Saccharomyces cerevisiae S288C: one gene and its partner. The gene in region 1 interacts genetically with each later gene. Each region holds a gene or a part of one and is shown on either strand. Other genes may lie near its edges.

Evidence for each region. A genetic interaction does not mean that the proteins touch.
Region 2: mutations in OPT2 (region 1) and FRE3 together harm fitness more than expected from each alone (negative genetic interaction), as found in Saccharomyces cerevisiae (one large-scale study listed by BioGRID).

Annotation. Positions count from the first base shown.
Region 1 is NC_001148.4:925,106-928,863, forward strand, and holds the start of OPT2 (Opt2p), read right to left. Parts: upstream 1,833-3,758; coding exon 1-1,832. Other genes in the region: YPR195C (uncharacterized protein), read right to left, coding at 2,860-3,189. UniProt on the Saccharomyces cerevisiae protein: Transports tetra- and pentapeptides. Does not transport glutathione.
Region 2 is NC_001147.6:1,053,669-1,057,426, reverse strand, and holds the start of FRE3 (ferric-chelate reductase), read right to left. Parts: upstream 1,883-3,758; coding exon 1-1,882. UniProt on the Saccharomyces cerevisiae protein: Siderophore-iron reductase responsible for reducing extracellular iron prior to import. Catalyzes the reductive uptake of Fe(3+) bound to di- and trihydroxamate siderophores.

The DNA.
Region 1 (3,758 bases):
AACGAATAACCAGTGGTTGCTTGAAGGATAGTAGTTGGAATCAAGAAAACAAAATTAAATCCTAAACAAACAAAAAGACCCCAAACTGGTGTATTTGTTGGGTAGTGCTCTACAACAGCTATTCCAACAACAAGTGAACCTATCAATATGGCAAAATACCACCAATCTGGAACTTCTTTATAGTTTTTCATGGCATTAGAATGTGGGTCATCATAATCGTCGAGCGCCCTGTAATCGCTTTTGAACATTGTGACCCAAGATTTAAGTTTTCTCATGGCCCACAAATTCAAAGCCCAATCTTTGAAAGCATTGAACAATAACTTTGAGTGTACAATAAACGACCATGTAATCATCAGAGGATATGCGCAAATGAAAGCACCATATGATACCAAATTTCCAGCACTATAGTATGGTGGCGAGTAGCTTTGATATTTTTTCACATCTAGCTTATTGTCACTGTCTAATACCTCAGTAACTTTAAAGGAATGGCCAGTATTAGTATACAAAGAATTTGTGAATATTGGCAGGTATTGGCAACTCATATAATTACTATAGTATACTGCAATAACAATTAAAGCTGCTAATATGCAACCAAGATATTGTGTTAAGTATGACCAAAATGGGTAAACTAAAGGAGAATTAAACGAAATAACATTCCAGTCAAAAGATGAGATAGGATTAATCCCAAGACCAGTGACTCCTCCCGTGATGTTTGCGAGATTAATGTTACTTGGCTTGATCCAGGTCATCCAATTGAAAGTGTTTAGAATATTAATAATGTAAGTGGGAAACCAGTTATAGATGAACATGATAAAAAAAGTCAAGAAAAAGAATTTATACCTGCTCATTCCAGATTCATGCTTTTCTTTACCCAATAGTGCCTTGTTGATAGCAATAGTTGGCATGACTGTTGGCCATAGTGCACGGGCTGGATAAACAACGAATTTTCTAAGGATGCCAGCAAATCCAAATCCAATAAATTGTACGGATAACGAAAGTAAAAATTGGTAGCCAAACGAGAAAGCAGAATGGTAAAAGAGTTTTTGCGTTAGAATATTGTAATGAGTATAGAACGCGCCTTGACAAATTGCATATAACAAGGTTGAAAACATTTGCTCTTTTTGGGTCCATGGTTTATCGATATTGATACCATACTTTCTGCCCCTGATGGTTATAGTCCAACAGGGGATAGTTTTAGCCCAAGCCTTACCACAGATATATAAAAACATTTGGATAATTGGAGTATTCAGTGAAATTGAAACCACCCTGTGTGAAAAAAACTCATTAAATCCTGAACCGATGACAGACCAAATTATTGCCAGAAAATATGCTCGGAATGTCTCCACTGGAATGGTGGGATCATCTTCTGGATCAACAACAGCTCTAACCTCTTGGTAAGGCGAATGAAATTTAATAGCAGAAGCAAATGCTCTAATGTCAAAGCTATCATATTCATCTATCCCCTCTTTTGAATCCAAGTCCTCCAAGTCAACCAATCTCTTCCACTCCTCATATTGATCGTGTGGAATGTTCTCATCATCCTTGAAATAGATGATAGAGTCTTTTAGTATTTTGAAGGAATCCTCAAGTGTCAATTCAGGCATTTTTTTGAGGATATACGCAACGTCTTCCGGAATATCATAAAGAGTGCGATTTTCATAACCCAGCTTCTTCATAAAGTGCAGTATCTGTTCATCCGTATACCACTGAGAAAAGTCTGATGAATGATTTGAAAGCCTCTCAGAATACTCAGCACCCTCGGCGTAATCAACAGTACCTTTTGTGGATACCTTCTCATCAATTATAACTTTATCTTTGACTGTTTCACTCATAATTTCTAATAATTCAACAGCAATATTGCGTATAACAAACCCTACTAGTTGTAGAATAAGCTAATATGTTCGTTTCTGCTATTAAAAAAATGCCGCCGTTGTTTAGACGTTCAATGTATGATTGTAAGTGTTTCAAATATTATTTTTTGGGATGTTTCGATAGGAATGAATATAAGTAACAACTGACTTGAGACATGACTTAAGTTTACACAGGATAGTGTTCCATTCCCATTTATAAATTTTTTTGAAGCGAGAAGAAACCTAGCAAGTTGATATCAATATTTTTTTTAATGTTACTTATCTTCATTGCTAATAATTCGTGAAATGATTGAAAATTTCCAATCCATGAACATTCAGAAGTAAGATAACAGCGTCCAATTGTAAAAGAACGCTATTATTATTGTAGATAAGAGAATAAACTTAAATAATCGAAGGTGTTACGAATCTTCATAAAACCCAATGGGCTGATATTGACAACCGCAATGGCGATTCACGTGTTCGGTAACCACAACAGGGGCCAAGAGGAAAACAAACTACATCAATTTTTGCAAAAGGTTAACAACGAAATGTGGGATTATTGAAAATTATAACGAAGAAACTACGTCGGACAGCAACCCCCCGATTTTTGTCGGTTGCTTTTACTGACACCATGATGTGAACCAAATTTTCTTTTGGTATTCCTCGCATAGTGTTGACTTCTTTTACCATGATAAAAATAATGAGATAAGAAGTGTTGCAGTAATATTATGTGTCACACCAGCGTGGCTGCCATATTTGAGACGGATTCGTCCGGTGGATGTGATGGATCCGTTTAATGCTGATCTCTCCTGCATTTTTTGTGAAAAATCAGATATCAATTATTGGTCTATCTGCTTTTGCCTGTTTGTTTTTTTTTCATTATAGAGTTCCTCAGTGAGTGGGATTGATGATGCGCACGGCACAATTGAAGCATTTGCTTATCAAAACATAAATATCTCCGTACCCAAATAGGAAAAACGCGTTAATGCAAAGTTGACACGTTCAGTTACTATTTCCTGAAATAATAATACAGCCCACAAAAACCCACCAATGACGCTTTTGTTGCTGAATCAGACGTTAAGTGCTGCTGCCTCCTCTGTTCTGCGCCGCCGGTTGTCTCATTACCTTTTCTGCCTATGATGATTGTATTGCAAGGCCCGAGTGGTTGCGTATGCCACGTACGAAAAGTTGTTACCGTGCCGTCACATCCCCTGCAAAGAATGTGGTACGGCACACTCCTGCTAGCTTGAGGCCCTATTCCAATGGCAATTGAGATGCTGCTTTCTCCTCTTACAATGTATGTTGATGCTTCCACTAAAAGAGGGATGAGAGAATTCATTTGACTGTGCAGTCAAATCTGTGATCTTTCTATTCTTGCTTATCTATATTCTGCCCTATTTATTTTTAGTAAAGTTTCGTATTTACATTTTTCATCATAGATCGCACCAGCGCGTGGGGCTCTTTCATTATCATCTCAACTAAATGACATACATTGCAAATACGTGAAATGAGCTGACTCAAAAAGAAATATTCTGAACTGTGAATACCAAACAAACTTAAAATAGCTGAAATTCACGTGTTGAATTACCGCATCGGTTAAGGAAAGGGAAAGTTTCTTCTCTAAATAAGGAGGAGCCTTTGCACATATGTAGATTATGTAAATACTATACTCTTTTTTTGCTTTTAGTACTTGGTATCCTACTAAATCTTTATTTTCTTTCGTTAGTGAAAAATATGAATTGAAGGATCAGTTCCTTCAAAAAGGTAAGAAAAGAAATGGACCATTCGATTAATGCTGGCACCAACATTCCACAGCACGGAATACAATTTTTGGTGTCCTTTACTTCAAGATTTGTTACTACGTGCGGCTTAGAATAACTTCATTATTTATCTAAACGACCCATAATT
Region 2 (3,758 bases), on another chromosome or scaffold:
CATCGGCCTTCTCGTCTTGTTGAGAAATTTCCAAACTATCATTAGGAGTTAATGCCGGAACTTCCATTGTATTGTAGATGTGAAGCTGTACATTAAGATCTTCTAGACACATCAGCTCCGGCTTGTAAGCCTCGAGTACGTTAAACCCTCTAACTGCAATCACTAATTTTATGAATTGTTTTCCAGTTGCCGCTGACGTTTTTCCAAGTTTAATGGCGTGTGCAATGGGCCCTGGCAAACCAGTACCTCCCGTAAGTAGCAAGACGTTATCATAATTATTGACTGGAGATGAAGAGCCATATGGACCTTCTATAGCTAGTCTCATAGATGCCTTACCTCCATTGCAACACACATACTTTTTGACAAGTTTTGTTACTCCCTTTTTTTCCTTCAGGATAATAGTCAGCTCACCATCTTTGATAATTGAATCTAAGACTGTGAAAGGATGTGACTGCCAAAAATACAGGTGGTGTAGGAATGAAACGAAAACATACTGTCCTGGTTTGGCTTTCCATAGCCTTACTGGTCGTTTGACTGTGACTCGAATGATGTCATCGCCAACTAACTGTAAGGAAGCCTTAGGGAAACCGAAATAAGATACTCTAACAATTCGAATTAGCCTATCAATAGTCCAGATAGCAATAGCAGCGTATATCCACTCAATCCCACTCAATTCTACGACGTGCTCCCAACACGTATAAAAGAACAATGCGCCAAGCACAATATGGAGAAATAAGAAGGCTTCATAGAAAAACTTTCTGAACATTGCCAAAGAAAAAAACACCATAACACCAACTATACAAAGAGCAGCTACTCCAAATTGCCAATATGTCTCTTCCTTGCTTGCTGCCCAATCTTTGTAGAATACGGAATAACTGGTATAAGCAGCGCCATGAATCACAGCATCTAAAAACATCATTCTTCCCAACCACTTATGAAACATTATGAAAGAGGTATATTTTACTCCAGAAATGAATTCTAGAAAATTGTTCCTTCCTGCGAAAAGAGCTATTAGGGGAAAATGTGCAAATGCCAGGACACCACTTCTATCTGCCACGTATCGAGCAATCTGTTCTCTACGAGAGTCGAAAATTAAGTTGTAAGGATCATATTGATACCCGTATGCCAGAAAAACTGTATGAAGCACGAGGTATCCAAGTATAATGACGCCTTCAGATCGTGTGGGAAGGAAGCCTGTAAAAATTTTAAGGTAAGAAAAGCTCGACGCATGTTTACCCCAGATAGTAGGTATTGTCAAATATCTTCTCACATATCTTACAAGTCTTTGTTTAAATAAGGCAGTTTTAAACGGAGTGTAACTTAGATAATGGAGTATGCTGGCAAGAATCATAACACCTACAAAATAGGCGCAAATAATACCACCATAAGTATGACCAATGTCGTAGTTGGCGTAGAAACCATGGTAAGAATAATAATAGTTTTCTCTCACTTGGGCATCCATCTCGATTGGATACGTAAGATTCGCGCTACCTTCAGAATACTGTATTATGTATGTTGTTCCATTATTCAGCATATTATAGAAATCTGCATTAGTCATATTCTGAAGGTTATCAGTGTAATATGCGCAGTCTTCTTTGATAGCAGCAAAGGTTTTTTCAAAGGTTCTATTGGAATAACCCTTTTCATTCAATGATTCGTAAATACAATACAACATTGACTGTAATGCCGGTTCATATGTACATGCTGGTGAGGAATATAAATCGTCACTACTATACTCCCAGGTTACTTCGCCGAGAACTCCCATGCAGGCATCTGTCAAAACCAGTGGTAACTTGCCGTACATTTTTGTCTTAGCAGGGGAGGCGCTTGCTCCTGACAAGCAGCATAACAAAATAGAACCACAAAGGAGGACCCAATACATTGTTTTCCTTGTGTCTTATAATTTTTGAATTGAGAACGTTCATCAGCAATTGAAGTTAATCATTCTCTTGCCACCTTATATAAGTTGCGACGAATCTTTTAATATAAACAATTGATCAAATTCTGTACATCTATGTCAAAGATGAAAGCTTCTGACAGCCAAAAAAAAGAGTCTTTCATCGCCAACGAATCAGTAGCTTTTGTTAGAATTAAGAAGTTTGGCTTTTCGCCAATTCTTTGAGATGAGGTACACCCACATTCCACGTAAAACTCAAATATCGGTCCAGGAAAATTCTCGAGTTCAATCACGTCACCAATAGTAATAATAATTGTGCTTCTCTTGACACTCGCAAGGGACTTATTCTTTACCATTCAAATTTTTCTCCTATTATACACCCGAAATAAAGGCAAAATGAGATATGGGTGCATTTTACAAAAGAGGTTGCAACTATCCCGTTCGCAGTGTAAACTATGATCTAGGGTCAACAAAGCGGTTAATTTGTCATAGTTCTTTGCAGCTTTTAATTCTCTGATATCTTTCCCTCAAAGTGTATTGTTTTCGTAACTTTAGATTTTATCTAAATGTTTCATTTCCGGCGCATTATTAGCAAAAGGGTGCTGTCTCCCTAGCTGCATTCCCAGACCGGAGGCACAGAATTCTGTAGTGATACTCTGTCATTACTTACTGCAGAAAAAGTTAAGTAGCCGCTCAGTACCTCTTAATTGAAATGAAAAATTTTCGTCGCTTATTTCCTGCTTTGTTTTTGAGTACGTTTCCAATCATTTTCTGGCGTACTTCGTGAAAGGGTAAAATTAAAATACTGAAAGCATTCATATGCTGATATAGTGCAGAAAAGCAATGAATGCTAACAACTTCCCGGATATCTGAGCAACTGGATTCGATCAGAAAAGGCACTTTTTACAGACGTACGTCAAAGCTTTTATCTTTTGGCTATCTTCGCCAACTCTATAAAAGGCTGTACTCCTATAATTAACTGATAAATAATTCCCGAATCATACTAGTATTTATTTTCTATGAGTTGTGCTAAACAACGACTTTTTGAAATGCAATATGCTGAAAAAATCACTTTTTAGTCGCAAAGTCAATTTTGGGTGATCGAGGGTTTTATCTTTTTATGCACATGTAATTCTTCCCAAGAAATAGGAATTTCTTCCCAGATGATATTTTCCAACACTGCTTCGTAGTTATAATAATCTTGCAATGCCAACCGTAAAATAGTAACGCATTTCTAGAAGAATTTCGCAATTCATTTTATATTTTTTAATCAAATGAGAAAAAAGTATAACGATTAAAAACTCTCTAACCATGTATTGGAAAAAGATGTTGCAACTTATGTAATATTCCTTGGCAGGGTTTCCGGGGCCTGTGCGCAACTTTAACGCCATTTTATGCAGGCCGAGCATTCTAAGCCTCAAAAAAAGTTGTATCTCCGAACCTGCCAATCTTTACTGTCGTACCAACCAAGGGTATGAAAAAAGCAAATAAGGCCTACAGCTTATTCAGCTTAGTATACTTCATCAGATTTATGATAAAATTTTTTTGCACTGATCCATCATTTTTTTATGGAACTGGTGGAGGAAGCTAGTTAAACCGCGAATTAAGTTAGGCGATGCGATGCGCCTACGTATTTTCAAAGTTTTACTGAAATTGGCTCAAAGCATAATTGTGATTGGAATGGGAAGCAATAAAAAAATGACTTTTGAAGTTTTCAGTTTGAATGACTTTCGATTAAATGTTTTTATTGATAATTGAGCGAAAGTGGTAGAAAGTATGTACTGGCTATTTTTCTTCCAAATATAGCCGAGACCGAACAAAATTTAAACAAAACAATTAATTAAATTATTCATTATTCATT